4 linked regions of the Schizosaccharomyces pombe genome follow. The protein of the gene in region 2 binds, or shares a complex with, the protein of the main gene of each other region. Each region holds a gene or a part of one and is shown on either strand. Other genes may lie near its edges. A codon is read from its position in the direction of its gene.

Region 1 (7,043 bases), on a different chromosome or scaffold from region 2:
CTAAGAATTTTTTCCAATATCATCGCAGCTTTAGGTTTAAGAAAATTTGGATCAGCTTTGTCAACTACCCAACGAGTAAACTGTATTAACCGGGGTTGCATACTAGGAGGTGCTTCAAGAATGAATTCAATACAATTTATAGCTTTGTCAGTATTCGCAGCAATTTTACTTTTAAGTAAATGCTGAATTGCCTTGTTCCTTAAGCTAATGGAAACAGAAAAGTTTGCGTGCAAAGCTTCGATTCGAAACTTATCAAGCGCTATGTCTAATAGAACGTTCACGTGGGACAAATTCTCTAGATCAGGTAATCCACTATCACGCGTAAATTCATCTGCCAGTCGGGCAACTTCAGAATGAGAATCAGCAGAGGCAAAAAAGTAAGCCAACCACTTCCAATTTGATGGCCAGCTAGATAAATGAATCCACCGAAGCAGACTCAAGCGGTAATCTACTGTTTTTTGGGAAAATTGCAGGTCACTAAAAATCCTTTGATCTTTCTGAATCAAATAGAATGAAGAAAGAGATAAAATGACATCGTTAGAGCATGTAATAGCCGAAGTTGGCTTTGAAAAACGAAGTAAACGAATTGTCAATGTCAATAATACTAATGGGTATTCATTGACATGATTTAGACAAATCTGGAGAAGGGCCAAATTTTCAGAACAAGGTATCCTTTTTTCGCCTATAGATATGAAAGCAAGGAGAAATCTTTTTCGCAAAGGTTGATTTGCTTCAACGTACTGGCTTACTAAGGCTTCAAGAGGTAGTATGGCTTGCGCGTTATTGTTGAGCCTAGTCATAATGTGGTTTGCAATTGAAATTGTTTTGTTTCTCACACTTTCATGAGGCGAATCGAGTTTTAGTAAAATCGGACATAAAAAAACTGACACAAGCGATTGAAAGGAGTCCTCGCTTTCCGCTAGAGCGAGCTTCAGCTCTGCATTGTTTAATAATCTCAATTCATTTTCAGCCATTATTGTAGAGTTAATTATAATCACTAATAAAAAAACACTCTACAATAAAATACCAAACAAAGATGAATAAAGAGATATATATCAGAAAGCAAGTAATTAAAAAAAAGTCCCAAATTGACTTTACACTTAATTGATAGAACAAGGCATAAATAAAATCTACAATTTTGGATGTGTGTGTTGTATTTCGTAGGTTAAAAGGCTGACTAACAGCATGCGACTTAAGGAAGTGAATCAGTGATGAGGTTATTGAGGTCAGCAGAAGGAGGAGGTGCGGAAAATTTAGGAATATCTTTATGAGCTTTTTTACTTTTTGATACGATTAAAGTTTCTTCATCTACATCTGAAGAAGAATCCGAGGAATCATCAACGTCGGATGTATTTTTTTGACCGTGCTGTAATAAGGCATTCGTGATCGTAGGAAACGCCAATCCAATTCGAGAAATTCGATTTAAAAAAGAAGGGATAGGGCTGCCCGTAAGTTCAATTGCTGCAGCATTCGTGAAATGATTGCAATTTCTCTCTAATAAAGAATATGATAACCCCGTAAATTCTTGACTCAAACGAATCAAAATTCTATCCACGTCGGGTTTAGGGAGGGTACAATTAGGTAAAGCAATAGAACAGCGCCATCTACACCCTTCTAAAGGCGGTCTTGGCATGGTAGCAAACACACCGGTGGAGCCAGGAATTTCGTGTGCTCCGAACGCATATTCTTTACCTTCTAAAACCAATCCTGTATGGTAAATACCAAGTCCAAGAGTCCATGCTAGTTTGTTTACCGGACTGTCTGGCATTAGATCATACACATTAATGTATACTTTCATATTCGAATACGTTCGGATGGCGAAGAACAACTTGCAAATTTCCTTGGTCCTCCTTAAGCAGGTTGAATTTTAAGATTCGATACCTGTACAATTAAGTATTTTTAATAAAAAAAAGTAGAGTCGAATTAAGGATAAAAATTTAAAATACGGGAGCTGTTTATGGTGGTGATTTTGTTTACATCGGTACGACTATGACAATGTTAAAATAATCAAAACATAGTACGTTTCTTCAATATTGAATACCTTTAGCTAAATTCACTACGATAGCAATCGCAATGAAATGGGTTTAATTGCATACAACGTTCTAAAAAGTTAATGAAATATAATCTCGCTGTTCGAATACGCATATTATTAGTAATGTAACAGAATTGCAAGCTTAAACAGAGGAATCATTGAATGAAACTAAGTCACAACGCTTTAATACAACTAGATAACGAAACTAGCTTTAAAGAGGAAACAGAAGTACTAACCCAAGAATTTTATATACAAATCCATGTTTGGAACCAGGATATTTAATAGCACAAAATGAATTTGCTAGTATCATTTACCCAGGCCAGAAGCAGTCTTGGTTGCTTGTTCTATACCACGTGCGATTGTGCTTCGAATTTTTCCATCTTCCAATGCCAACAAACCACTAATTGTACATCCGGCAGGAGTTGAAACATCATTACGAATCATAGCAGGATGTTGACCTTGTAAAACCATACGACCTGTACCAACCATAGTTTGGGCAGCCAATTCCTGAGCCTGAGGGAACGGAATACCCATCATTACACCACCATCTGTCATAGCCTCAATCATAGTAGCAACAAAAGCAGGTCCACTTCCACATACAGCGGTAGCAGCATCAATAAGCTTTTCGGGAAGTTTCATTGAACGTCCAATGCCATTGAATACCCATTCAGCAAACTTTATGTCTTCTTCAGTTGCGTTGGGTCCCGGGCAAATTACGCTCATACTTTCACGGATTCGACTAGCAGTATTGGGCATAATGCGAATCACCCTAGTACTTTCATCAAGCATACTTTGCAATGAAGAGATGGTCTTGCCAGCCAAAATTGACAAAATTAATTTTCCTTTGAGCGCTTCTTTCATCTTTGGGGAATTCAAAACATCCTCTGCGGCCTGAGGCTTACAACTCAACAACAAAACGTTACTAATCGCAGCCATCTCGGCATTCTCTTTGGCCCCCATTACAACTTTAACACGATCTCCGAAAAGCTTTTGAACATCCTCTTTTTCTTTAGGAAATTTGACACAAGCATAGAACTTATTCGGAATGATAATTTCGTCAGAAACATCGTTTCCATTTTCAGCAATGGAATCAAAGATTCCAGTCAAAAGTGCTTTTCCCATTGTACCACAACCAAGAACACAAAACCCCGACATTTTTTAAAGTTATGCTTAAAAATGTTTAACTATTTTTGTAGTCTTCTTTTAAAGCGAAAATAAATTCGACTAAAGCATATGCTAAGGGATCGTTAATTCCAAAATCAAACTCATACTGTAAATTACCGTTTTACTCGCTGATGTGCATAATGTAAGATACTGAAGTATGATGTTACAAGTTTGTAGGACTAGTCCATGTTTGAATAATGCTACACGTTAAAGTCAATATATCTTCTATATAATTAGTAATATTAAGTATATCGCAAATAAATTTTAAAGCAGCTACACAGTTTTTAACGAAATCTTGTAGAGACGTTGTAGATAAACAAAAGCTTTTTCGAACTTATAGATGTGAACCATCAGGACGCTGTTGTCCACTGTATTTTCCATATCCACTAACCACCACGTTCTTTTGAAAGTTTATTGCGTTGAAGTAAAATACTTTTGTTTGCTTTTTTAAAATGTCAAATTTTCAATATTGTATAGAATGCAATAATATGCTGTACGGATTAGTTTCTCAAAAAGATGACACTGAAAATTGTTTGAAAACACTAACATGAAATAAATAGGTACCCTAGAGAGGATAAAGTGGATCGTGTTCTGAGGCTAGCTTGTCGTAATTGTGATTACTCAGAGGTAAGCTTGTTTTTTTCTCCTACTGGGTTTATTCACTTCAAGAAAAAAATTCGAAGTTCTTTTCGATTACTTTTTTCCTCATCATTTGGAAGTTTTAAATATCTCATCAGCTAATTTGTATAGATCGCTGCTACTAGTAAAGTTTATCGCCATGAGTTACAAAGCTCCAATGTGTAAGTTAGATTTCATCCTTCGAATAATCACTAAATTTGTAGAGAAAACACGACGGTCAGTCACGACGCTTCAACGGACCCTACTTTACCTAGATCAGACAAAGAATGCCCGCGTTGTCATCAACATGAAGCAGTTTTTTATCAGACTCATTCTCGTCGGGGTGATACTATGATGGTGTGTTTCGCATTGTTTCATTGAGAAAACAATTTTAATATTTAGGTTTAAAAACAATTTTACTGACTTAATTAGACTCTGATTTATGTTTGCGTACATTGTGGATTTGCTTTTGAAGAACAGTAATATGCGACAATTCGGTCTAACAAGGGATTGTAAAACTAGCTGCGTCCACCAATGGCTCTTAGACTTCGGTTTAAATGATCCGCTTGATGTAACCACTCTCTCGCTTCTGTGCTGGAAAACTGGATTTTCGAGTGATACCAGCCACCTTTGCCGAAAATGGATTTACCAGCCTCTCAATCATATGCTCGCCTCCTTCCTTTATATTAAGCAACGCGCCTACCAAAACACTTGAATTTCTTTATTTCACATTCGGTGTACCTTCTGGAATATACTGAAACTGTTTCAGTTATTTGTATACAATAATCCATACGGAATAGCCTTGTAATCCGAATACCAATTAAATAAAAACCCTTAATTCTTTGTGCCTTTATTTTTTTTTATATTCTAATTTCAGCAGAGCTGTTAAATTCCAAGGCTTTCCATAATGTTGATGACTGCTTCTCAACAGGATCAGCATGCTAAAATGTATTTAGCTGACATCCATAGAGCATTGAGAATTCCTTCTCCCATCCCAAGTACTGATTACGAATGTTCTGACTATGCCTCTACAATCGCATCGATATCTCGAGAAAGTACAATGAGAAATTTTAATCGCAGTAACATCTCGTCTACGGCCCCTTCTTTTGCTGAATCTGAGGATGCTGAAGATGGCGATAGTTTCCCTTATGATCAAACGTTATCAAATTCTTCCAGTTTTGATGATCATCAGTCTCTTCTTCCTTTTTCTACAGAAGTTCGTAGGACCCCAACTTACTCTGTCATGAATGAAACGGATAGTAGTAGTACAAGTGTTGAAGACGTAAACAAAGAGAACATACTGTCATTGAACGATTCATGTTTGATCAAATTATCTGATGATGAGGCTTCAAATAAAAGCAGTCGTAGCTCGACTCCACGCAACTCGATAAAGAGTAATTCATCTAACCAGGGCCATGGCGACATACCAATTCCTAAAAAAAATCCTGCTCGTTCCGTTTGTAATTCAAAGCTTTTTAACGAGGACACATTGCCAGCTGAATTTGAAGAAGTTTCAATTTCACCACCTGTCAAACTTGAGTTACCTACTCACTCTCATAATTCATCTGACACTAGTTTTACGAACAGTATAGTTAGCAGTGTTAGTGACATGGTTGGTCTTGGCGAAGGTATAAACAGTATTGCATCTTTTGGTTTCTCTGAAGATTCGTCCTCGTTCCAAGATATAAAGACACCTCCTCGCTTATCATTCGCAGATGAGAACCGAGAGAATTGTAGGACTGATATCTACCGTTCAGATTCTATTCATGAATACGAAGAGCCACTTACGAGCTCCATCACCTCTTTAGATTCCCCTCATGTTCTTGACGAAAATGCTCCGATACCGCTTCTTCCAAAAGTGGTTTCTTTACCAGATCCTCGCTTTACAAATGTTCTTTCAGCCTTTGACGCTTTGACTAGGACATATTTGCTACGACAGAATTCTAAAGTTGTACATGCCACTAGTCAGAAACAAGAAATGCAAACTTCGCGGCGCGTTGTCAATTCTTGTTATATGCCAGAATCGTTATCGCGAAATTTGTCCAGTAGTTTGCAACAAACCGGCGGGAGTGGAAGATTGTTTGTCCGTCTTATGGAAATCAGAAACTTAACTATTCCTTTGGCATCGGGGATGACCACTAGGTTCACTTATACAATCTCTGGTAAGCACATTCAAGTACCATGGAACGCCTTACACTCTACTACTAAAATTGAAAATGAGTATACTTTTGATGAAAGTATTAGTTCTTCAATTGTATGTACGCTCCGTGCGGCTTACGATCCACCTAAGGTTCGCACTCGTTCTACACTTGGAAAAGTATTTTCAACAAATAAGAGAAAGTCTATGACTACCGACCCCGTTTCAGAAGCACTTCATGGATTTGTTTCTGAAGATGGAACTTTCGGCGAAGTTACCATTAACACTGATTCTGTAAGCCGAACCGCACTAGGCCGTTGTCAATCTATGGTTCTACCAATCATGAACAAATGGACTGTTGATCCGGCAGCTAAAGATGTCAAGCCTCTCCCTCGAAAAGTAGGAGAACTCGAAATCCACGTATTTTTCTTACCAGCGCTTCCTGTCTCTCTGAAAGAACTTCCCGCTTCAATCGAGTCTGCCATGTATGACTTAAAGCTTGCTGAATGGGATAGAACTTTATTGTGTGATGGTTATCTATGTCAACAAGGTGGGGATTGCCCTTATTGGCGTCGTCGCTATTTTCAATTAATAGGATCAAAGTTAGTAGCTTTTCAACAATTCTCTAAAGTTCGCAGAGCAACGATTGATTTGTCTGAAGCCACACATATCGTGGATGACAACCATTATAGTGATGAAGAAGAACTAGAAGGGTATCTGTATTTCGAATCGGGTTTCCGTATCATTTTCAGTAATGGGGACTACATCGATTTTTACGCTGAAACCGTCGGCGAAAAAGATGAGTGGATGTCTACACTTCGTCAGCATTTGGGGCAATGTTCAATGGTTCACAAAAATTGGACCAAATCATTTCTTTCGCTGAGTTTTTAAATTGACCATTTGCTTCGACCTCACTTTTTCTATTTAAATCACATTTGGTCTTTATCTTCTCCTTTATCTATATCGTCTTGCATTTTTCATTGGTTTTGTTGTTTCCCTCGCATAATACATAATGTTCATTTTATCTACCATCGAGAAGCTAGATTCGGTTGAAATGAGCTCGTTTTATATAAGCTGTTAAAAATCGGATAG
Region 2 (9,884 bases):
AGCCCTTGTCGCTTTGAAAGTAGTATGCCTAGTGATTTGTTTTTTGTACAATATTTAACAACTTTCAGCAAAAACATGATCTTCCGTTGCTTGCAATCTAAGTGAAGCTCAATTCCCCGAATCGGGATTTTGTACGACAATATCTTAACTTGAAATCATGAGGAATCAACACTGTAGAAGTAAAATAACTGTTTAATAACAGTGCGATCTTACCTTTATCCTATACTATTTTTCCTATTTTCTTTTTGCATCTGCGTTTATTGAGTGAAGTGAAAGAGGTATTTATTCTACTTAATAACATGAATTTGAACTGACAGAGATCCAATATATAACAAACAAGATTCCTATACTCGTTTAAAAAGGATTTGAATAAACTGTTTTTAGGATACTGTTCTATTTACTTATTTATTTTCAGGCAAAAAAATAGTGCCGCGTGAAAGACCCTCTTTTGCTTTTCCCGATTGAATACATTATACAATTAAAATCCTTTTTTGCTAAAAGATTGAATTTAACCAGCGATTGATTGTTTTTATACGTTCGAGAGTTTCATCTCCGTTTTTATTAACTTGCAAGATCATTCACAAGACGAAAAATCCTTGATCGAATAACATTACTTTTTGCTTATTAAGTTGAACTGTTCAGATTTATAGATGACTAGCCTTGACTGTTCAATTGCACTTAAACAAGCAATCACTTTAATTCACTTCGATCGTTTCGGTATAAGACGCACTTCAAATCCTAAGGGTAGTCGACTCTATTAAATTTATAAATTTGTTAGCATAAATATAACATTATTCTGAATTGCCCTAATAGCGAGTCATGTATTCTCTTATACCAATTCCAACGCCTAAATCCTCTTAGTTCTCTTTCGTTATAATCGTTGTTCCTCTTTTCAATTTCTGAATATTATAAGCGCATGATTCACGAAATTTCATAGATTTTGTAGAGGACTTTTACACAGTGTCTTCTCCTCTATTCAGGTCTGCAACTTTCTAGCTAACATACACACCCTTTTCATCTAAACGAATGCCTTTTATTTTTAACATTTTTAAATCAAACCAAGGAGACTAGATAAATAAAATAAAAAAAAAAGAAATCAAGATCTTAACTAGATTGCAGTTTATGTTCGACGAAACTTTGGCCATTTTAAGAATTTGCCTAAGAGCTTAGGAAAAAAATAAATCTTATCCTAAAACAAAATACTTTTATCGGTTTGTCCGCAGTTAAATATAACTTCCTAATTCCTATTTCCAGTCTTTTATTTACATTTAACCATATAACGTTTTCCAACGCATCCGTTATATTTTTCATCTAATTTAGATGAATTTTCCAACTTTCACAAGTTGTCTTCTTCCAGCAGCTTTACGTTGTTGAATTAATTGGTTCTTTTGTTTTCTTTCTTCGCTTACAGAAAAATTTGGAATTGCTTGTCTTTCTGGAAATAGATCGGTTCAAGTTTAAGGGATTTTTTTGGTTTGCTATTGAATTTGCACTTATTCGAGTATAGACTTGTCAATAAGATGAAGGTAATTTGATTTTTTTTGTTCTAACAAGGAGACCCAACCTATGGAAAATAAATAGTAGTATTGGGATATATTGACGAGTTTAGGATTGGGTCTTTCCTTTGTTGTATTGCTTTTAACTGTAAAAGTCGCCGTTTCTAGGGCTATGAAGCTTAAAATTAATACATGATACTAATACTATTTTAGATTTATCCTGACTTGAAACAAGTTCAAGAGCTTGCTGAAAAGCACAAGGCTAACAAGATTCCCATTTATGGAGTAATCCCTGCCGATATGCTGACTCCTTCAGTAGCCTACTTGAAGCTTAATCAAGGAAAGAAGTATTCGTTTATTTTAGAAAGTGTCACTCAAGGAGAGAGTGTCTCAAGATACAGTTTTATTGGCAGCCCTTATAGAATATTAATGGCCAATGGAAAAACAGATCCTTTGGCACGTTTAGAACGTGAGTTGAAAGAAGTTAAAACAGCCCCTGTTGAGGGTCTGCCATCTTTCAGTGGAGGTGCTGTGGGCTATGTTTCTTATGATTGCATCAAATATTTTGAACCCACTACTGAAATGCCTTTAGAAGATACCTTGGGTCTTCCGGAGGCTATGTTTTTCATGACCGACGATTTAGTCGCTTTCGATCATGCTTATCAGACTGTCAAGATAATTTCTCATGTTTGCATTCAGCAAGGCCGACCCATTGAAGAGGCTTACGAAGCTGCCGTTTTCAAAATCAATATGCTTAAAAAGAAACTTGAAAGTCCTGAAATTCCTTTGCCTGAGCAAAAGAAGGTCCATTTAGGATACGAAGCTAAGTCAAATGTAGGCGAAGACGGGTATAAAGCATTTGTTTCCAACCTCAAGGAACATATCTTTAATGGCGATATTTTCCAAGCTGTCCCAAGCCAACGGATTGCTAGGCGTACAGATTTACATCCTTTTAATTTGTACCGCCATTTAAGAACAGTTAACCCGTCCCCTTATATGTTCTACATCCACTGTGATGATTTCGACATAATCGGTGCTTCCCCTGAATTACTGGTTAAATCAGAGCATGGGCGTATTATCAATCATCCCATTGCCGGAACTGTTCCAAGAGGAAAAACTAAAGAAGAGGATGAGGCATATGCCAAGGATTTACTTGCTAGTGTCAAGGATAGAGCTGAACATGTAATGCTGGTGGACTTGGCAAGAAACGATGTCAGTCGTGTCTGTGATCTCGACACAACAAGTGTTGACAAGTTGATGACTATTGAAAAGTTTTCTCATGTTCAGCATCTTGTTTCTCAAGTTTCTGGTGTTCTGAGACCTGATAAAACTCGTTTTGATGCATTCCGTAGTATATTTCCGGCTGGAACGGTCAGTGGGTCTCCCAAAGTCCGTGCAATTCAGCTCGTTTATGGATTAGAGAAAGAAAAGCGTGGTATATACGCGGGAGCCGTAGGTCGTTGGGGCTATGAAGATGACAACATGGATACTTGTATAGCAATCCGTACAATGGTTTATAAAGACGGAACTGTTTATTTGCAAGCCGGTGGTGGTATTGTGTTTGATTCAGATGAACAAGATGAGTACGTGGAAACTTTAAACAAACTACGTTCAAATGTTACTGCAATTGAGGAAACCGAAAAATTATACGCTGAAGAAGAAAACTCTTCAGCATAAAAGTAAAGGAGACGCTTTCGGTTCTCGTTGTACATGTTATTTTAAAGTGTTGAGGTTTTTAAAAACTTTTTTGTTGTCTTTATTTTTGGTAAACGAATAAAACATCGTTATAAAAAATTGTATTCTGTAATCTCGTTGTCCACTTGTAGCAACTTTGTCTATTCATTGTGAGCATGGTGAGCCGATATAAACTTTCCAACAAAGAGTTCAAGAGGCAATCACCGAAAATTAAAAAGATATCAAAACGACAATTCCGAAAGTGTTCTCTTTCACGAAATTATCTAAAGCTATAATAAATCCAAGTGAAGAAGAACAAAATTATGATATGAGGGAGGAATATATATCTCTATATATGCATATCAATACGTACAATATGTTGTAGCCAAAAGCCAAAAAAAAAAGGATTAGATAAAAATGTGTAAGGTATGACATGAACGGACGCAGGCCATAAATTAAAAACTTTTAGATGATTAAAAAAACGCATCTAGAGTATTTTTTATAACAACAAACATATAAAGGATGAAAATGGATAATTTTTAGAAAAGAATTGAAGCATAGTCTACCACGTGTTTTCTTCACCATTTTGATAGGGAGACCAGTTCATTTCTGCATTCTCCTCCATATTCAGTTCGTTAGCAGAAAGTTGAGTAGGCTGCTCTTCGTCGAGATCACGAACTAAAACTGCAAGCTTTTCCTGAAGAATTCGTAAACCTTGAACCATTATTTCATTGGGTGGTATAGAACCGACACTTTCGACATCCATATAAAACCGACGCGGTTCCTCTTGGAAGTTGAATGGTTCGCCTTCCCGCGGTGGTTCTTCCCAATCGGCATTTTTGCTTTTTGGCCACTCTGCATCTGCATCATTCTCAAACCAGTAATCAGTATGCTGTAACTTGTTCCATGGATCGTATTCAAATGCAACAGCTGAAGTAGGTGACCACTTAGCATGTTCTTTAGCTATACCCTTCTTGGCAATGCAACGCAGAGAAATTTCCTGCTCTTTTCTGAGTTTGCAAATAAGCGGTCCGCGTGATTTTGGATCGGCGAGAATAGGGTGTCCAAGAGAAGAGTTAGAAGAAACAACAAGATCTCTAGCATAAATTTCCATCGTACCCTCACCAGTACATTTGGCATTTAGGAACAACTCGACTGAACACTTGGGACAATACTGATCGCAATCGCAATTGCGCGTATATTCCAAACCTACTGGAGGCGGTTCATCGATGTTGGAGCTATCCAGAGGTATCATACCAAGACGATGTGCTAGAAACTCATCAGGCATGACTGAGGTATTCACATTAATTTCAACTAGGTCAATGGCTAAAACATCATTAGTATTTAATTCAAGAATGAACCTAAATCTTACCCACTGTTGGAATCTCTGCAAGTACAACACGTCGCAGCGAGTTTGCAACTCTTTCAACTATTAGAAGGAATTTCCTAGAGCTTTTCACTTACGCCAAACTTGTATTTGTAAGGACAAAATCCACCGAGTTTTTACTTATATTTCGTATCGTAATATGCGTTTCTGAATCCATAATGAGAATGTGTCGTTTGGTCTATGCTTGTTGCAGAATTTCATACTCATTTCTCCCATTCCGCACTGTTAGGTGATCCCTTATTTAGCATAAGGACACACTAAACTACGTTAAATGCGAGATCAAGGAACTCGCTTTTAAAGAGAGCAAGCAACAATTGACAAGAGAGTACGAATCTACGGCATTAGGCTTAATTCATTAATATTTATATTCTCTGTTCATCCCGACAGAATATTTGAATAAAAACATATTGTTTCAAACTCTTTCATTTTTGTTTGGCTGATTATTACTACAACTTTACATTTTCGCCATGTCTAGCATAGGCGGTAAATTACAAAAATCTTTGCACAAGATTCGTGCTGGAGCTTTAGGGATTCCTTTACCAAAACATATTCAGGAAGTATCTATTCAATATTCTTTAGACAGCCGTTTGGGACATATGGGTGCTAAGTAAGTTTTGTTTATTCGTGTTAGAATCATCGATGTTGTCTATGTACTGGTACCTCAAACATTTTATGCTCAATTCATGTTTAATTCTCTCAAATAACTGCTTGATAATACTTTGTGTGAGGAAGCACTGATCTACGATTCCGTTTCATGCGTTGTTCATTGCTAACGTTTTAAATTCTAGAAAATTTGTAAAAGAATGTCTTCCTTCATTGTATTACAACAATTACGGCTTGAAGTTTAACGTTAATCACCGTTTACCGAACGATCAAACTCCAACATTTTCCATTATCTCAAACAACAAAGTAATCTATTCGTACGACATGCGGTCAAAACAGCTGGAAACAATTTCTTCCGATATTCAAAAAGCGCTTAAAGAACTTCATCACGAGTCATCCCCGGAAAACATTAAGGAAGCGCACAAACAAGATTATTCACCTCCTTCTAATTAAGCAAAAACGCTTTTAAAATTACTTTTTTTCAGTGAACAAAATATGCATCTTTTTTTTTTCTAAAAAACCTTTAGTTTTGCTGCAGTCCGTTTACTGTATTCCTTTGTTTGATGATCCATAAACCTACAATTCCCTATTTTCTTTTTTATTTAAAAAAGTTGTTTGAGTGAAAAAGAATGCTATCTTGAATACGAGCTTTAGTCTAAAAAATACATCGGCTTGCATTAAGATTTTTCTATCCTTGAACGAGAGCGTAAATGCCGTAAAATAAAAGAACAAAGAATGACCGAAATATTCTAACTTGGTATAAATCATATTTGTTGATTGAGTTCTTTGAAAAAGTTTTTGTACATGATTATGAGGGAATGAACTAATGATCGTTTGGTATGACAAAATAGCGTTTCTCCTCTTACTTGATCGTATTTTTCCTAAAGAAATAAAATTTCTGCCAACTTTGTTTATATCCATAATGCAAAATTCCTGCTGCAGTTTATTAGATATTGAGGTTTTTTTTCGGTCAGTGGAGGAAAGTGAACAAATTTGATTGTAGAGTTTAAAAATGGTTGAAATTGTGATCATATCAAATAGCCAACCATCTAAATTACGAAGTACAATATCTTTTTTACAATATCCTCTTACCAAACTCTTCGGGTTTCTGTTAACGATGAGCATGTACTTGTAAACGATTCAAAGTTTAACTGAACAGAAGATGTTATCTAACTTTATCTTATTAAGAGAAATTGTACAAAAAAAAACAGAGTGTTTAAGTTGATGTTTGAAAAGTTTAAAACAATACTCAAAAGTGCGCATTCGATGCTTTGTTACCAGATTAAATAGTAGAACATAAAATTATAGGAATCCATATTTAGTTAGTTATGAATGTTCTTAACTATCAAGCTATGAATAATAGAAAATTTAAAGGAAATACATTCTGTTTTAATTCAAGGTCTTGCTAGTATTTACATAAATAGTGCATACCAAAGTACTGTTCAATGCTAAAAGCTCCAAAAAAAACATAAGCTAGTTCATGTTTACTTTCTATATAATAAAATTTTTTACTTAACAATAGTGGCCGTTTGGTCTAGTGGTATGATACCATCTTAGGGTGATGGTGGTCGTGGGTTCGATTCCCACAACAGCCCAATTTTTTGCCAGTCGAATAACAATAGAAAGTTAGATGAAAAATGGCCCTTAATGTGATCGTGATATTTGTTTCTTTTTGAGTTGGGTCCAACTTGGAATTTTAAATGAGACGTACTATATACACTGTCAAAGGTCATTCATTACTCGGTTTTTAATCATCTTGCTTCGATGCCTTCTACTGCCTTATGCACACATATCTGGATCATACAACAAATTGCCGCATCCCCTATCAGCGGTGGTACGTTCCCTCTTCTTATTTTCTTCATGTAATTCAAAACCACAAACCACCATATTTAGCTTGGAAAATAGTTTAAACACTTCGCTCGTTTTATATTCATTGATTAGCTTTTTCGACTTTTATTCAAATAACAGAACGCACAATGCTGTTTTAACGATGCTAATAAATAAACATTAAAAGATTGATAAGAATTCCAAAGCCTGGATCGCTAAGCATTTCTAGACAATTCTCAATCACAACCATAACGATACCCTGCGGTGCCTTATTTTTGTTAGTTATTCGACTTCCGGTAAATAAACAGGTACAATTAGAACCAGAAACTGCCAATTTTGGAAGATGGTTAGATCACGAGTTTCTCCTGGATTGAAATTACAATCCGATGCATCAAACCAAAGCAATGATAAAGAGAACAAGTTACTGGCCTACGTAAATGATAATAGACATTTTTCACTCATTAGGTATGATTTACGTATTCTTGTTTACACCATTGCGAAAGGACTTTGCAAAAGGATTCATTACTTGAAATACTAACTAGAGGATTGTAGAGCCCTCCACCTTGCAGACTTGATTACTTTAATGAACGGGTTTTGCGGTGTCATGAGTATATTTTCAAGTTTACGTTACTGCCTAAGCGGACAGCAATCAGCTTTCCATTTATGGAATGCAATGTACTTTATGCCATTTGCGTTGTTTTTTGACTTTTTGGATGGTAAAGTGGCTCGTTGGCGTGGGAAATCTTCCTTAATGGGTCAGGAATTGGATAGTCTTGCTGATCTGGTATGTATAACTTCTCAAATCTGTTCCGAGACTATTTTCACATTGGTTGCTTTGACATGATAAAAACACGAGGAACATGATAAGAGGCTTCTTTGGTTGAATTTTTTCTTCATTTTAGCTAAGTCGAGCTTTTTTTTTTTGCTTCTCGTTTTTTACATTATGTCGGTTTGTTCAATGAGTCTGAATTTTTCTCAATAAACATGCGATTGCGTATAATTCTTGATTATATATATTTTTTCTCTCTCTTATCCGGTCTTTTTATATCATTATACTAACAAAATAGATTTCATTTGGCGTATCTCCAGCCGTCTTTGCCTTTTGTTGTGGATTCCAAACGTTCCTTGATACCGTTATACTTTCCCTTTTTGTTTTGTGTGGTCTAACTAGATTGGCTCGTTTTAATGTTTCTGTCAATTCCATTCCTAAAGATGGATCTGGCAAGTCTCAGTTTTTCGAAGGAACGCCCATTCCTACCACCCTCTCCTTAGTAACCGTTTGCGGAGTTTGTATCTTAAAGGGAAAGACTCATGAAAATCTACCTTGGGGTGAGTGGTGTGGAAACACACCTTTTGCATTTCACCCGCTTGTGGTTTTGTTTGTGTTGAGTGGAATTGCTATGACTAGTAAGAAACTCAAAGTTCCAAAAAGTACGTTTCTATTACATTCGCTCAAATATGTTTAGAATGCTCTTTTTTTTTATTTTGTTTATATTAACTGATCGATTTTTTAGTTTGATCAACTGATGCTTTTATTCAATAGAATCCAAATGAAACTTTACAGTACAGCGATCTGGGTATACACAGTTTTTTTCACTTTTTGCTTTTGATGTTACTCGCATGCGAAGCCTTTTCCTCTCTTAAATTTATAATCCTTACTGAATCTCTTCTCATATCCTGTTTTTCCTTTTTTCTTCCATTTCGAAGATAAGTCTGTCCTTCACCTATTCGACTTAACCATTTTTAACGTAAATGCACTCATCATTGTTCATTCCTTCCCCCTTTTCCAAATATGTATTTCCGTCCTTTTAACAATTAGAAGCTGTTTTTCAACTTACCAGTTTTCTATTGCTCTCTTTATGAAAAACTTATGAAATTGAATTATTTCAAGTGATTGTACCCTCAACGGTAAAATATAGTAAAATTCCTTTAATTATTATTTCTTATATAGTCATCATGATGAGCAACCAAAAATAAAATTCTTTATAAAAAAGAAACTTTCCCAAAATGATGGTGAAAAGTAATTTTTCCTTCTAAATAAATAATGTTTTGTAAATATACACTATGAGGATTTAAAATCTCCTCGTCAAAAACTAATGAAGACCCTGTTTATTATTTTTTACAACAGCCACAACCGGATCAACCATTCCTTGGTTTTCAGAACCAAGTCCCTTCCCCCGAGACCAACCCATCATTTCTAAAAGTTGTTTTCCTTTGCCATTATTTATAGCGGGAGCGCTAGAACCAACAACATGACCGTCCATACGCTTTTTTGTATTGGTTGACACACTTCCTTCCTGTATTTGCACGCGTTTCCTTTTTTTCAAACCTTTAGGAGTCATTTCAACAAGTTTGGATTTTCTTTTCTTTGACAATTTCACGTCAGTTTGAAGTGCAAAATGACGATCATACTCAATCATGCTCAACGAAGTCTCTTCTTCCGCAATGTGGCTCATATAATCTAGTTCCACTTCTTTTCTCCTTTCACCAAACAGCATTTCATATTTTTCTAAAGCATCCTCATTGCTCAAGTGCTTCGATGGCTTCTTTTTTGGTTGAACAATCTTTGGCTTCCTTGGAGGAGGTTTTGGAGATGCCTCTACATTTTCCCATTGAGAAGATGTAATAAAAGAACCGTCTTCCACAATAATTGCCATTGTATTAATAAATGTTCGAAAATTCAGCAAATTTACAAAAACCAGCCTGAGTTGGCATTGGTGCTATAAAGAATGCACAACCCAAGAAACTTAAATTTTATGAGATCAAGGATAATAATAGGGATTTATTAAAATCAAGCCTGACTATTCCACAAATTCGCTCTCAATTATAAAAGTTTTGTTCGTGCAGTATAGCTTGCTACTATAAACCAAGTGTGACTTGGTTGATGAATAATTGTT
Region 3 (6,804 bases), on a different chromosome or scaffold from region 2:
AGATCCAGGTAACAGCGCCCATATACGAAGTGTAGCATCAGTTCCAACGGTAATAAATCTATTAGAGCTTGTCATCATCTTAAGGGCAGTTACAACTTCTAAGTTTCCATGAGGATTGTCGATTCTAGTCATCAAGACCCATGTCTTTTGAACAGAGTCAAACTGCCAAAATTTCAAAGCAGTTTGTTTTACATTCCGCTGCTGTTCATCGATAATATTAGTGCACCAAGTGTCGATGGTGGCAATGTATAAACCATTCCTAGACGACGTGACAGCAACAGAACCAACATGACCATTATCCAAACTTGTCGCATCATCTGAATTCTTTGATACTGAAGAATAAGAATACCTTGCAGCTTCAAATTTACGAATTGTGGAATCTTTAGTTAGATCATATTCTTGTACTGAAACAGAGTGACCATTAAAGGAAGAGCTAGACATCAGTAAAAGCTCACCATTGGGACTCACAGAGGAAAATTGAACAAGTCCTTGGAGCTGCTTTGAAGTGTTTTTTGGACCAGTACTAGTTAGATATTTACTTTCAAATGAATTTATTCCACTGACGTGAATTTGCTCAGCTAAATCAACTGCACGAATAACAACTAAAGAGTTGTCTCCCAAATGCAAAGCATACGAATCAGAATCATGAGAAGTAGCTATTGAGAGAATAGATGATCCCAATCGAGGTAAGAATTGTCGATGAGACGTCTCCATTTGCCATAAGACAAGAACACCTTCTTGACCACCAGAGAGTAGATATTCACCGTTCAATGCCCAAGATAAACCATTCAATGGATTTGCGTGCCAATGAAGGATTTGAGGATTAAACTTCTCATTGCTAATGTCATTAATAACATGAATTTTCCCTTCATCATCAGAAACAGCACAGGCTGAACCACATAAGGAAACATTAGTAAGTTTCTGTGGCATATTGAACAGATGTTCACGATGAATCCATCTTTGGCTCCTTTTCTTTTTAGGAACGTTCAAAGAAAAAATTGCTTTGTCAGTAGTAATGACTGCTACCGTGGCTAAATTGTTATCTCTGAGACTGCTGTCGAGAGCTAAAAACTCGTTGAACTTAGAGACAAATGTTGGAATCAATATAGAACTGCCTTCTTTAGAAGTGGAGGGGGAAAGGGCATAAAGAGTAAATCGATCTTGTGAAGAAGCAGAGTCTGAAGCAGGAGTATCGGTTACAGCAAACAATAGCTTTCCGGAAAAAGAAGCTGCATGGACACGAGTGGAAATCTCCATGGTGCGCAAAAGTTCAGAATTCGACCAGTCATGAACACAGACGTATCCGCTTTGAAAAATCACATATAGCTCAAATGCATTCTCAGGAGACAATAATACAGCTACGGGTAATAAATTGGCCAAATTATTGGGAAAGAAAATTCGATTGATACAATCTCCTGTAATCAAAGAGAAAATTCCAATAAAAGTATCATAAGTAAGAAATACAAATCTAAAAATTAGTAAAAATAACTTAAAAACTGAAAAATACTAGAAAAGCAGCGGCAAGTACAGACAGGAATGAAATTCTTACAGATCATTTCGTGTTATATATTTCAATTAAGAAAATTGAGCAAAAGCAGTCTGTTCAAGGCTACCCAACCTTTAATAAAAAAAAACATACTTGTTATCATTAGAGTAAACTGCAGGGATCTTTGAAACCAAACGACCCCCTAAATATGCAGTTTTAGACCAAGGGTCTTTATCATTTTTTTTGACCTCCAATGAACCAACTTCCATAGAATTAGGCCCTTCCATAATTTTTATTCCTCCAACGAAAAATAATAAAACCGGTTGGAATTAAAACGCAATGGTGGTTGGTTAAAGCCAAATACTTGGTTGTAGCATAAAACTTTTCCTGGCGAACACACCTCCTTCCAATACGCACGGTTACCTTCCCTTTGCCAACAACACTAACAAAGTCAAGAAGGCGACGGGTGTTCAAAGTTAGAAAAATGATCATTCCTATTCGCTGCTTTTCTTGTGGAAAGGTAAGGAAACAAATTGCTATTTATAGGAGGTGGTTGAACGCGATTCACATTTTTTATGGATCGGTAGAAAAATTTCACAATTGCTTCGTGTATTGTATATAGTTTAAGATTAGCCTAAGTTGAAGCATTAGATTATAGTTTTTTTGGTATTAGATTTAGTTTAAAAATAGCCCCATTTTCGCTACTGATTCCAACGAGGACTGATCCACTTTTGGGGCGATTATACATATGTTTGTATATTACGAACGCTTATTTCTATTTGTTCAAAGAATTTCTATCTATTATTTTTTTAATTATTTGCTTGCTAATACAGCAGGTTATTGGTGACAAGTGGGACACCTATCTCACACTCCTTCAAGAGGATAACACAGAGGGTGAGGCATTGGATAAACTTGGCCTTCAACGTTATTGTTGTCGTCGTATGATTCTTACTCATGTCGACTTAATCGAAAAGCTACTTTGCTATAATCGTAAGTTTCATCATAATGATTAATCTGCGAACAACTTAGGAACAAAACTAACTAAGTGTTTAGCGTTGTCAAAACAAAAGAATCTTTAATCGGTTAGCCACGCTTGAAAGAATGTGAGGTTTATACTTGAGATTAGGCCGAGAAGCCTGGATTGTTGCAGAATTTCAATTAGTTTTACATCATTGCTCAAGCACACCGACCGATCATTTAATTATTCACTTTTTCATTTCGTACCCATAGATTCCAAATAACGCGCAAATTTTGGCTTTTCTTCATGATTCTTCTGACATTTTGACTTTGATTATATGCTTGTGTGCTTTGTGACAGTTCAATAGAGGCTTGGACATAGGATAGTCAATTTGCATTTATTTTTTTATTTTTTTCTCTATGTTCATATAATCATTCTGTAAGCTGATGTTGGATGGTTAGTTTTGTTACAGTACAGAACTGAATTTTTAGGTGTAGATATGTAGATGCAAGAACTTAGAGTTATAGTTTCATTGCCAATCAAGTGAAGTTGCATATTACGTCCTTTAGAAATTCATTTTCCTCTTAACATTTTAATCAGAAGTTAATAAATAATATTTTTGGTGTTGTCTACATTTGTTAGTGCTACGTGATCCAGAGCATCATACCAATATCGGAGCCTACGAGCTTGAAATGTCAAGAAGAGAACAATTGAAAGCCAAAAATTCTATTTATTATTATGGACAAAGAATCATATGACTATTTGGTAAAGATTGTACTTGCAGGTCCTTCGGGAACTGGCAAATCCTGCTTGTTACAGAGATTTGTTAAGAATCAATGTAAGTACATGCAAATTTAACAATGTTCAAGTTTTTAATGGAAATTAGGGGATGATCAAGTATCACATACTGTTGGAATCGATTTCGCAAGTCGGATTATAAGTGTTGGAATGGGAAACCAGCAAAAAAGAATCAAGTTACAAATATGGGATACTGCTGGTCAGGAAAAGTTTCGAAGCGTGGCTAGGAATTACTATCGTGGAGCAGCAGGTGCTGTTTTAGTCTATGATGTGACAAACAAGGACTCGTTTGAAGAATTGTCGTCTTGGCTGTCTGATATTCGAGCTATGGCTCCATCAACAATATGTGTTGTATTGGCTGGTAGCAAATCTGATTTACAAAACCAACGACAAGTCTCTACTGAAGAGGCAGCTGAGTTTTGCTCAGAAAAGCATATATCTAGTGCGCATGAAACTAGTTCTTATACAGGAAGCAACGTTGAAGAGTGTTTTCTTTCCGTTGTCTCCACCATAATAACTAGGATTGAGTTGGGTGAAATTGATCCCCAAGATCAATCCTTAGGTATACAATATGGTGATTTAAGTTTCCGTAGACCGGTTCACCCTTCCAGTACTTCGAATTGGTGGACTTCAATTACGAATTGGGACGACCTGGTCCGTTTGGAAAGACAGACCAGATCCTATTGCTGCTGAAAAAAACAGTTATTCAATTATTTATTATTAAATTATCATACGTGTATTATTTTTAAGTTTATGAGGATATTTTCATGATATTTCGAAAGCTCTTCTCAACTTAAACACAGTTTGATGATTGATACATCTATATAATTATGACCATATTTACTGAAGGAAGATGTTAGAGTATAGAGCTGCATTTAACAAAGAGAATTAAATAATTTATTTGAATAATCGCACTTTAAATAAGTCCGATAAGGATCATTTACAAAAGGGTAAATTTACTATAGAAGTTTTGCTTTATGAAGCGCATATATAGAAGTCATCAATTGATTCAATTCATTACAAACGAATAAGGCCAATTACTCAGTCCGTAAAGTCCATATGGGTTTTATTGTTCGTCTTTTGGACCCTCCAAATCAACGGGTTCTTTTAAATTCAATCTATCCAAATTCGCATTGCCCCCATGAGAGAATGGTCTAGGACTATATTGTATTAGAATTAATATTAAAAAATTTTGAGAGCATACTTTACAGGAAAACCAGCAGGCCCACGAAGGGGAGGCATGCCATGACTTTCGGTTTCCCGCAATGCATTCCTTAGGTCCGTTTGTTTTTCAGATTTACTACGATTATCACCAGTAGAATGATCTGTATTGGAATTAGAACTCATTTTTTATGTGTTTGGTTCTTGGTAAGTAACGATTACTGCGTTGGTTTCACATCGTCTGTTCCACGTCAAACTTATAACCTGACATCAACATAACATATCCATAAATTGGCAGTCTTCGCTCTTTTCATAATCTTTTTAAAAAAAACCAATTAAGTTTTGTTATTTAAGATCAAGAAGATTTACTCCAAGTTGGTATGGTTGCCTGATTTATTCCGCCATTCAATCCTACATTGTTATAGTTGTTTTGAAGGTGCGGGCTAACAATAACAAAAGCTTTTATTTTCCCATTTTGAGCATTTCATATTTTGTGAATGCTTTGCCTTTCTCGCTTTTGTGATAACTTACACTTGCATTGTTCCACTGTTAGTTTAGACGCGTTTGTTGTTGGAAGTCATTGAAAGAAAAGCTCCGGTAAATTTATCAATAAAAACGTTACACTTTTGTTGCTGTAAAATTCGTCTCAAGCGGGTAAATTTGCCCTGTTTTCAGTTACAACTGTCATTGTTAACTTGTACATATCATTATTAAATTATGGGGGTTTCGGTTCTGACGTTTCACGTTAGTTTATTTTTGAAAAGAATCTTAAGCATAGCATTTTTTTTGCTTTCTTTGTCTACCTTATTGCGTATCGTGAATGCACAACAATATGTAGACAACAACATAGGATCCATGGTATTGAGCGACTACGATTTCGCAGAAACTCCATCTGTGAGAGTTCAGCGGGCTTTGGAAATTCTTAGATATTATTATGAGCAGGAAGACGTAACGTATGAAGAGATTATTATTCAAAGAAACCATGCAATTGAGTTGCTAAGATCCGCATCTCATGATAATAACACGGATGCCATGCTTTATCTCGCAAACATTGAATTTTTTGGTCTTTTTGAAATTATTCCCGAAATTGAAGATTCCGTCAAGTATTATGATATGCTACAAAAAGCGAATGGTAGTGCATTTGCTAATAATATGATGGGATTTTTTTACTCCACTAGTTTTAGTGAGTATGCCTCTAACAACCCAGCATTAGCTAGGATACATTGGGAGTTAGCAGCAAAGCAAGGCTCTTTAGACGCTCATCAATTTCTGGCGTACCATAATTTAATCGCTTTAAATATGCCTCAATCGGATGAGGAAGCTGTGAAGCATTACAAATTTATTTCTGACCACTTATTTGAAGAAGAATGTGGTTCCAATGTAACCTATTTAAAGTGTATATGGCCTGAAATTCAGGATTATAATTTTGCCGGTGAAAACGGTATGGGTGTGTACGGTGCTGCTTCTGCTTATACCTATTCTGATGCCTATCAGGCCCTACATACTAGGAGTCAGTACCTTCGTGAAATGTCAAATTCAATTGAAGATTGGGATTATGAGTTAATGTTTGAAGTTGCCAAATTACGTCTGCACGGGATGTATAAGTATCCAAGGAATTACACTGTTTCCGATGTATTATTTCGCAAGGTTTCAAGACAATACTGGCCATACACTTCAGAAAATAGTGTGTTAGCTAACACTCCACAGAGCATAATTTCCTTGGCCGCTCAATCTTGTGGATATTTAGGACTTTTACATCTATTTGATAAAGGTCCTTTATTCGATATAGACAAAGCATACTGGTGGTTTAAAAGAGGTGCAACGAAAAACGATTCCAATTCTTATTACGGTTTAGGTTACATGGCTTATCACGGTTTAACTTCCAACGGCGTTGATCGAGAAAAAGGAATGAGACTAATAAATTTAGCTGTAATGAATGAAAATCCCCATGCACTTATGTTTCTTGGCCTCATTCGTCTTGAAGAAGCGCGTTATGAAGAGGCGTATCACCTCTTTTTAAGAGCTGCTACTCAAAAAAGTGTCATCTCTTACAAATATTTAGCTGATTGTTATTATAATGGAACTGGAACTAGTCGATCAATGATAAGTGCCTCTTTATACTATAAAAAGTTTGTGGAAGCAATACGAGCTTCTGCAACCTCGATGGCTATAGCTTTAGAAGAAATAGACGAATATGGATATTTTCATAATTCTTTCGTCTATTACTTATATGCCGCTCAAATGGGATATGCCCTAGCTGAAATTAATGCAGCATATTTGATGGATGAGAATAAGTTTCTAATTAACTCAGTATTCCGCTACTTTAACTATACCCAATCTGAGCAGGAGGCTGCTCATGATAAATTTGCGTATGAGTTTTACTCTCGTGCTGCCGCTCAGG
Region 4 (6,640 bases), on a different chromosome or scaffold from region 2:
TTAACAATATTGCTAATTTTTTCGAACCTGTGAGCATCAGTGGCAGGATTGGACTCAGAAGAATAAGAAGAAATAACCAAAAATGTTGTTCTTTCAAATAATATTACCTCAGCAGCCTCAGCAGCTTTGGCAAATTCCCGGAGATGCGATTCCAAAGTAGGCGTATTAGGAATCAAAGTATAGACAATAGCAGACCATGCTTTGAATAATGTTTCATCCCAAATAGAAGTAGCTAAACAAGTGGTTTCAAGATCCTTACTTGTTTCTAACAAAATTGCCTTACGTTCCTCAAAAACTAAATCACGTAGATCTTCCTGAACTAAATCCATCTTGTGTATTAAACAAAATACACGAGCTTGGGGACTATTGGCCACTGTTGCTTCTAGACAATTACGAAAAGTTACTAAATCTCTTTCAAATTCTCTTGACTCAACATCGAAAACATAGATAAGTACTTGAACGTTTCTGAATATGTGATCACGCTGGGCAGATAAATAGTTTTCCATGAACGCCTCCTGTCCACCGCAATCCCATAGGTTCAAAACTAAATTTCCCAAGAACCTTACATGCGAATGTTCAATATCAATTGTAGCACCTAGCCTTCTCGTGTCCTTGGCAACATAATTGCTAAAAACTATGCTTCTCATTGAACTTTTGCCGCTGCCACTGCGGCCCATTAACAGGACTTTTTTTCTCATTTTTTCTAGAATAACAGAACTATCTTGAGATTAAGGGTAAAGCAATTAGTTTATAAAATTCTACAAAACAGCTGTCACTGCAATTGTGAGTGAATTCGTGTTTTTATGCGTTCTTTTTTAAAATCACAAGCAAAGAAAAAGTAAAAAAATAAGAAAGGGAGAAATGTAGGTAAAGGAATGCGAAAAGATTCTATAATATCCCGCAGACAGAAAAGTTTAAGTTGATTAGTGGTACAACGACATGCACTTCAGTCGATTACATCGTAAAGTTACGAAGTCTGTTTTCCTTAACCTACATATTAAAAATCAAATTCAAAGTCAAATTGTGAGAATTAAAATTAAAATAAAAATAAATTTACAAATTTATAAAAAACAAACATATAAATCAAGAACGAATGGTTCATCTCAGAATTAAGCACAGTAAAAATAGAAATAACCCCTTTAAAAGAATGTAACGTATTTTCAAATGAATATAACGAAATTAGTAGAAGAATCCTCATATCTGAGGTTTTTAAGGCGCATTAACGTTTAGCTATACGAAGTCTCTAAAGCAAAGACTTGAGAATAATTTTAATAGAAAGCTCTTTGGTTTTAACGAGAAAATACTCCAAAACCCTGGCGTCGTTAAGCTAGACAAATGATTAAGAAATATCAATAAAATAAATTTTTCTTAGACATCTCCGTACATCTCGGTAAATTCATAATGTTATTAAGAACAATCGTTATTTAGTTTTAAGATAAATATAAAATATCGTTATTATTAGCAGCGGCTATAGAAATGCTGCAATCAAGGACGCGATTTTTAGACACGAAGCAACAGCAAGAAAGCTGGTTGTTGTGCATAAAGAGCATTCTGACATTATTTTTGGGAATACATTTGTATAATAGTTATTGATTTAATTAGATAAAAAGAAAAAACAACATTCTGAAGAGAGTGTTTGCGAGCATCTATTCATAATGCCGAGGGCTATTTTTGAGGAAGATGCTGCACAATTAAAACTTGGTCCAGGTTGGATTTGAATTTTATTCTGTTGCTAATATAAAAAGAGTTTGAGAATGAGGATATGTTGACGGTTTCAGAGGCCAAAATCCTTATTGAAACAGTTCTGGCACAACGAGCACGCGAAACTAATGGTGAGATTCCAATGACTGAGTATGTCTTATTGTATGCATATTCTTTTTTAATTAACTAGGATAGTGTGATGAAAAAAACAGTAGCTTACTTCAATGTTTTTGCTCGGTTTAAAACGGCTGAAGCCACTTATGCATGTGAAAGGTACATAATTTCAAAGAATTGAATAGAATTTTAGAGGAAAATAGCCGTATGCAAATATTTGACTAACCTCATAGAATTCTTGGTAATCGATTCCATAAATTTGAACGTGCACAATTGGGAACACTCTGCTGCGAAGACGCTGAAGAGGCTAGGACCTTGATTCCTAGTCTCGCGAATAAAATTGATGACCAAAATCTTCAAGGCATCTTGGATGAGCTTTCCACTTTGCGTAAATTTCAAGATTAATGCAATAAATAGATCTCAGGCAAGTCTGTTTATTGTCAATTATGAAAACTTAAAAGGTTTCCGGTCTTATAAACTATTAGCTATATCAGGATTTATAATACGACGTTTTTGTCATTATTATTCCATAATTTATGAGGGGTCATAAAACTTTTTTTAACAAAATCTATGTTTTTTTATGCACCATACACTTCTTAATTAGTCTATTAAAAAAATATAATACAAACACTGAATACACGCGAAAAGGAATTTAGATAAAATGTATTAATTAGATTAAGTAAGTTTTAACAAGGATCATACTATTGTGAAGCAAGAAAAACTAAACATTTTGAATCAAATGGGCGTTCTTTGCTTCATAAAGGACTAGCAAGTTGAGTTTGAGGCAGGAAAACTTGAAGTATTTAAAATCGTTTACACATCCAGATAGCCGCTTTGCAACCCATTTGAATGGCATTGGTAAGCAATGCATGAGCTGGAGCTTCCTTTGCGTTCCAACCTTCGACTGCAGTGTTCAAATGCTCTAGCTCGTCATCTCGAAACTCTGCCAAATGGCTACGAATCTCTTTAAATTCTGGAGCTTTATTTTCCAAATGAGCCGTTTCACGTAGTTGGTCGTTATAGTGTCCGCCAATTACCGTTTCTACTGCCTCTGTACAAGCCATAGCTGCTTTGGTTCCAAGCAAAGCAGTTCCTGCTCCCAACGCAAATCCAGCGATGTCCCAGAAAGGACGTAAAAAGGTAGGACGGACTCTATTCTTTAAGACATAATTATCAAATGTTGCGAGATGGTACTTTTCTTGATCCCACATATGCTGAATGGTAGGTGCGACTTTGGGATCGGTAAATTGAAGGATAAAGTGCTGACCTTTGTAAATTTGATTAGCGCCTAATTCACCTGCTTGATCGACACGAATGACGCTGTCCAAAATATTTGAGTCTTTCTCGCTCAGTTCTTTACGGCCCATCGAAATTCTACGGCATGTTATAGAGGAGCGAAGAAAAGGAGAAACCGACTTGGTAGCAATGGGTATTAACTGTCTACGTGACAACATCTTTTGTAATGGTAAAAAGGCCTGAAATTACACAGAGTTATCAATTTTCAAAACGAAATTTTACTAATCAACAATAAACCAATATTTCTAATTCACTAATAGATTGAAATATTCGACGAAAGAGACTATGATGTTGATTGGGTGTGGAGGATTAGAATGTGAAGTTCTCTACCAAACCGAACGTTTTAGGCGGAAATGCTTAGTTGAGTAACACGTTAGGCTTGAGGTGTATTTCATATCAATCTCTGAACAAATCTGCAAAATTCAAGCTAGATGGTTAAGTTAAGAAGGAATTAAATTTAAGTGATTTGATGTTCACTCTATTTTTATGGAATAAAATATTCGATAAACTTGTCGTTTATTCTTTTGCTTGATTAACGCAGTGAATACCAGTTGCTTCAACTTTATTTTTAAGTCAAAATGAAAAATACATACTTAGTTTTTAAACTAAGAGATTCAATAAACAGTGGCGTAATTTCAGGAAAGAAGCAATGTATCATTTTTTTCCTTAGCTAAATGGCTTTGCTACAGTTTCATAGTGTTCGTCAATCTTGACGGATATAGAAGTTCAATAATAAAATGCTTCTTATAAACAATAAAAAAAAAAAACATATTTAAGCTGCAGTTTTAAAGTAAACTCCAATTTCCTATCTTTTTTCCAACCAATTCAACTCAACATTGTATTTTCGCTTAAAAAACTTTAAATTAATTACTAGTTCAACCGAAGGGGAATCCGAAGATATACAAATTTCCAGTATTACTGATATAACAAGTACAAGTAGAGACTCAAAGACACCCCATCACAATTAATTTTTGACTTGCTTAATAATTCAAGAATGTAATTTGGCATTATGGATTAATTTTCTTTGTTATAGAAAAAAAGCTCCAGAACCACACCCACCTCCCCCATCGAAAATTTACAATTTGAAATATGCGAAATCAATCATTTCTTTCCTTTTTCTAATTTAATCTTTTAAACACAAATGAGTACTTATGTTTTTCAGGCCTTCTCTCATTATTTTATAAAATAGCAATATCGTTAAATTCCGTTGTATCAAAGACGTCGTTTGAATGAGCTTGATTCTTTACCCCAAACCAACTTCGTATTTATATCAACCTTTTATAAAAGCATATTTTTCGCTAAACATGGCCATTTTTGAAATCAATAATTCTTTTTTAATTTGTGCTGTATCTATTGCTTTGAACCCTCTGCTATGGAATATTGCTGCACGTTCAGAATACAATCATAAGACTTTGACCAAATTGGCAAATGGCGACTCTAAGAAGGCCTGTTACATGCTAGCAGCTTGTATTTTTGTTGCCGGAATAGTTCGTGACTTAATTTATCAGAATGCTTTAAAACAACAACCTACGCTAGGTATCTTCATGAACCCTCTTGTGCAGGGTATAGCTAAGCTCATTTTTTGTTTTGGCAGCGTCCTTGTCTTATCGAGTATGTATAAGCTAGGACTTGTTGGTACATATCTTGGTGATTACTTTGGATTTCTGCTTCCAGAGCGTGTTTCTGGTTTCCCATTTAATGTCAACGATAACCCAATGTACAACGGTTCTACTCTTTGTTTCCTTTCTACAGCTCTGCGTTATGGAAAAGTTGCTGGCCTCCTTTTAACTTTGGAAGTCTTTTTCGTTTATAGAATAGCTTTGAAATTTGAAGAGTAAGTTGCCAACTGTTTAAATTTTTAAATTTTTCTTTACTCTAACCATTAATAGACCTTTTACTGCTAAAATTTACGCTGCTCGTGATAGCAAGCAAGCTAAAAAATCCGAGTGAAGCAGCTGATTTGAAGTGGCCATAAGTTAAAGCTTCATTAGAGTTTTTTATAAAAAAAAAAAAAAAAGGAACAATTTTAAATGGAATGTTCTGTTCATGACTAGTCCTTACCTTTACTAACGCTCCTCCTTTAACCGATTTTGCCCTATGTACTTTGACGACTTCAACGTCTGTATAATTATGCATAGTTTAACGCTTTTTTTTTCAAATTATTTAAGTGTGTTGATCGCGGTCTCAACACCATGATCCGATATTTTTATATTCATACTTATGTAAAAAATAATCTAATATTTTACACCATGTAAATTAACGTGCTTTCATTCTAAAATCAAATAAAATTCAAAACAAATATATTAGCAAACCAAAAAAACCCCGTTTTGACCAATTTATATGTACAAAATCAAACTCTATAAATCCAATCGTTCAAGAGGAAAAACAGAGTACAATTTCTAATTTATTTTCCAGAACGTTTAATAGATTTGACAATGCGATCAAGTTCTTGACGTTGATCTCCTTTTTCAGCTTTACGCTTTTTGATTTTAAGCTCAGGCTTACCGTCTTGTGTTTGTTCCAATTGATTTGAGCGTCTTTTACGACTTTCGTCCATAATTTTTTCCACCGTTTTAGTACGTTTGAAATGAGGATTTGTTGGATCAAGTGCAAAATTATGGTTAGTATATAGAGCAGCAAAACGTGGGTCACTGACATCAGCTTCGAATCCTTCCTGCAAGCCTTCCAAATTGGAGGCTTTTTTCTTAAGCTTGCGATTCTTCTTAAACTTTTCAGCCTTCAGTATACTCTTCATGTCAAAATGATCGAGCTGCTCAGAATCGTTTTCATCTTCACGAACAAGGTTTTCCAGTTCTTCTTTAGACGCGGCCGTAGGATCTTCAATTTGAGTATGCTTGCCCTTTTTGTTTTTCTTATTGTTACGACTAGCATCCTTGTCCTTAAAGAATGGATCATCAAAACCAAGATCAACGTCGGATCCTTCACCTTCATCGTCTTTTGTTTTCTTAAGCTGTCTCAATTCTTTCCGTCTTTGTTTTCTTTCAGCGGCCTTACGCTTGTATTTTTCAATAGTGGTTTCATCTTTTTCCGAAGAGTTCGCATTGTTATCAACATCAAAACCTGAAGTAAAAGTAACCTCCATCTCACCATTGGCGCCTTCAAGTTTGTCATCATCCTCAAAAGGGTTACTATTCGCTTGGAAGTCATCAGCATCACCACTTAATAACTTTTGGTAACGAGAACGAATAACATCTACATCCTCATCTTCAGATTCACTTGAGGCAATGTAAGCGCTAAAGTCTAAATCTTCAATATCCTGAGAAGTAAAAGCCTTTTTAATTAAATCCTTTCTGTGTGGATCCTCAGCATCCCACGAAAGTTTAACTTTTGAATGTTGCAATGCATCGGTGACAAAATCTCTCGGCTCATATTTTTCGGGCGCTTTAGTACATACTTCGCGAGATTCATCGTCGTCAAATGTAACATCATCTGGAATGAATCTTAAATCGTAAATATTAGCGCTAGTTTCATACTCAGCGCCATCACAAGTTTCGTATATAACCTTTGC

What was found.
Region 1: rpb3 (region 2) and rpb9 share a complex: the UniProt entries of both Schizosaccharomyces pombe proteins name them as parts of the RNA polymerase II (Pol II) complex.
Region 3: the proteins of rpb3 (region 2) and rpb10 are in contact, whole or in part, in a crystal structure (PDB 3H0G), measured with the Schizosaccharomyces pombe proteins. Residues at the interface, in NP_588324.1 of Schizosaccharomyces pombe: Val56 (codon at 4,461), Met57 (codon at 4,458), Phe61 (codon at 4,446), Arg65 (codon at 4,434), Met68 (codon at 4,425), Ile69 (codon at 4,422), Pro70 (codon at 4,419), Thr114 (codon at 4,287), Glu116 (codon at 4,281), Tyr118 (codon at 4,275), Ala136 (codon at 4,221), Asp137 (codon at 4,218), Ser140 (codon at 4,209), Gly142 (codon at 4,203), Pro143 (codon at 4,200), Leu144 (codon at 4,197), Ile145 (codon at 4,194), Lys147 (codon at 4,188), Leu148 (codon at 4,185), Arg149 (codon at 4,182), Lys150 (codon at 4,179), Gln152 (codon at 4,173), Ala169 (codon at 4,122), Lys170 (codon at 4,119), Ser172 (codon at 4,113), Ser175 (codon at 4,104), Ala176 (codon at 4,101), Glu234 (codon at 3,927), Val236 (codon at 3,921); in NP_594797.1 of Schizosaccharomyces pombe: Met1 (codon at 1,971), Ile2 (codon at 1,974), Ile3 (codon at 1,977), Pro4 (codon at 1,980), Ile5 (codon at 1,983), Arg6 (codon at 1,986), Cys10 (codon at 1,998), Gly11 (codon at 2,001), Lys12 (codon at 2,004), Val13 (codon at 2,323), Gly15 (codon at 2,329), Asp16 (codon at 2,332), Asp19 (codon at 2,341), Arg42 (codon at 2,410), Asp54 (codon at 2,446), Ile56 (codon at 2,452), Glu57 (codon at 2,455), Leu59 (codon at 2,461), Leu60 (codon at 2,464), Cys61 (codon at 2,467), Asn63 (codon at 2,473), Pro64 (codon at 2,476).
Region 4: rpb3 (region 2) and rpb4 share a complex: the UniProt entries of both Schizosaccharomyces pombe proteins name them as parts of the RNA polymerase II (Pol II) complex.

The regions. Positions count from the first base shown.
Region 1 is NC_003424.3:4,748,938-4,755,980, reverse strand, and holds rpb9 (DNA-directed RNA polymerase II complex TFIIS subunit Rpb9), read left to right. Parts: upstream 1-3,575; 5' UTR 3,576-3,648; coding exon 3,649-3,689; exon of another isoform or gene 3,690-3,756; coding exon 3,757-3,823; exon of another isoform or gene 3,824-3,946; coding exon 3,947-3,996; exon of another isoform or gene 3,997-4,038; coding exon 4,039-4,171; exon of another isoform or gene 4,172-4,246; coding exon 4,247-4,297; 3' UTR 4,298-4,591; downstream 4,592-7,043. Other genes in the region: proteasome assembly chaperone Ecm29, read right to left, coding at 1-974; sdu1 (PPPDE peptidase family protein), read right to left, coding at 1,193-1,798; pro3 (delta-1-pyrroline-5-carboxylate reductase), read right to left, coding at 2,339-3,187; mid2 (septin ring organizing protein), read left to right, coding at 4,722-6,842. UniProt on the Schizosaccharomyces pombe protein: DNA-dependent RNA polymerase catalyzes the transcription of DNA into RNA using the four ribonucleoside triphosphates as substrates. Component of RNA polymerase II which synthesizes mRNA precursors and many functional non-coding RNAs.
Region 2 is NC_003421.2:1,782,266-1,792,149, forward strand, and holds rpb3 (DNA-directed RNA polymerase II complex subunit Rpb3), read right to left. Parts: upstream 4,734-9,884; 5' UTR 4,715-4,733; coding exon 4,635-4,714; exon of another isoform or gene 4,593-4,634; coding exon 4,543-4,592; exon of another isoform or gene 4,497-4,542; coding exon 3,733-4,496; 3' UTR 3,174-3,732; coding exon of another isoform or gene 1,710-3,173; 3' UTR 1,527-1,709; coding exon of another isoform or gene 1,521-1,526; 3' UTR 632-1,520; downstream 1-631. Other genes in the region: trp3 (anthranilate synthase component I), read left to right, coding at 1,521-1,526, 1,710-3,173; mrp49 (mitochondrial 54S ribosomal protein mL61), read left to right, coding at 5,025-5,164, 5,346-5,613; SPOM_SPCC1442.11C (uncharacterized protein), read right to left, coding at 5,737-6,285; CDP-diacylglycerol-serine O-phosphatidyltransferase Pps1, read left to right, coding at 7,331-7,452, 7,540-7,771, 8,055-8,418, 8,502-8,506; sqs2 (G-patch type RNA-binding protein), read right to left, coding at 9,081-9,644. UniProt on the Schizosaccharomyces pombe protein: DNA-dependent RNA polymerase catalyzes the transcription of DNA into RNA using the four ribonucleoside triphosphates as substrates. Component of RNA polymerase II which synthesizes mRNA precursors and many functional non-coding RNAs.
Region 3 is NC_003424.3:4,946,401-4,953,204, reverse strand, and holds rpb10 (DNA-directed RNA polymerase subunit Rpb10), read left to right. Parts: upstream 1-1,918; 5' UTR 1,919-1,970; coding exon 1,971-2,006; intron 2,007-2,287; exon of another isoform or gene 2,288-2,322; coding exon 2,323-2,476; exon of another isoform or gene 2,477-2,539; coding exon 2,540-2,565; 3' UTR 2,566-2,864; downstream 2,865-6,804. Other genes in the region: U3 snoRNP-associated protein Nan1, read right to left, coding at 1-1,468, 1,640-1,773; GTPase Ypt4, read left to right, coding at 3,183-3,282, 3,331-3,935; SPOM_SPAC1B3.20 (uncharacterized protein), read right to left, coding at 4,309-4,402, 4,447-4,589; protein Hrd302, read left to right, coding at 5,121-6,804. UniProt on the Schizosaccharomyces pombe protein: DNA-dependent RNA polymerase catalyzes the transcription of DNA into RNA using the four ribonucleoside triphosphates as substrates.
Region 4 is NC_003423.3:1,054,007-1,060,646, forward strand, and holds rpb4 (DNA-directed RNA polymerase II complex subunit Rpb4), read left to right. Parts: upstream 1-1,502; 5' UTR 1,503-1,655; coding exon 1,656-1,707; intron 1,708-1,745; coding exon 1,746-1,851; intron 1,852-1,896; coding exon 1,897-1,974; intron 1,975-2,048; coding exon 2,049-2,220; 3' UTR 2,221-2,496; downstream 2,497-6,640. Other genes in the region: Gtr1/RagA G protein Gtr1, read right to left, coding at 1-698; ubiquinone biosynthesis protein Coq7, read right to left, coding at 2,619-3,269; cho1 (putative phosphatidyl-N-methylethanolamine N-methyltransferase), read left to right, coding at 4,416-4,945, 5,001-5,061; pre-rRNA processing protein Esf1, read right to left, coding at 5,516-6,640. UniProt on the Schizosaccharomyces pombe protein: DNA-dependent RNA polymerase catalyzes the transcription of DNA into RNA using the four ribonucleoside triphosphates as substrates. Component of RNA polymerase II which synthesizes mRNA precursors and many functional non-coding RNAs.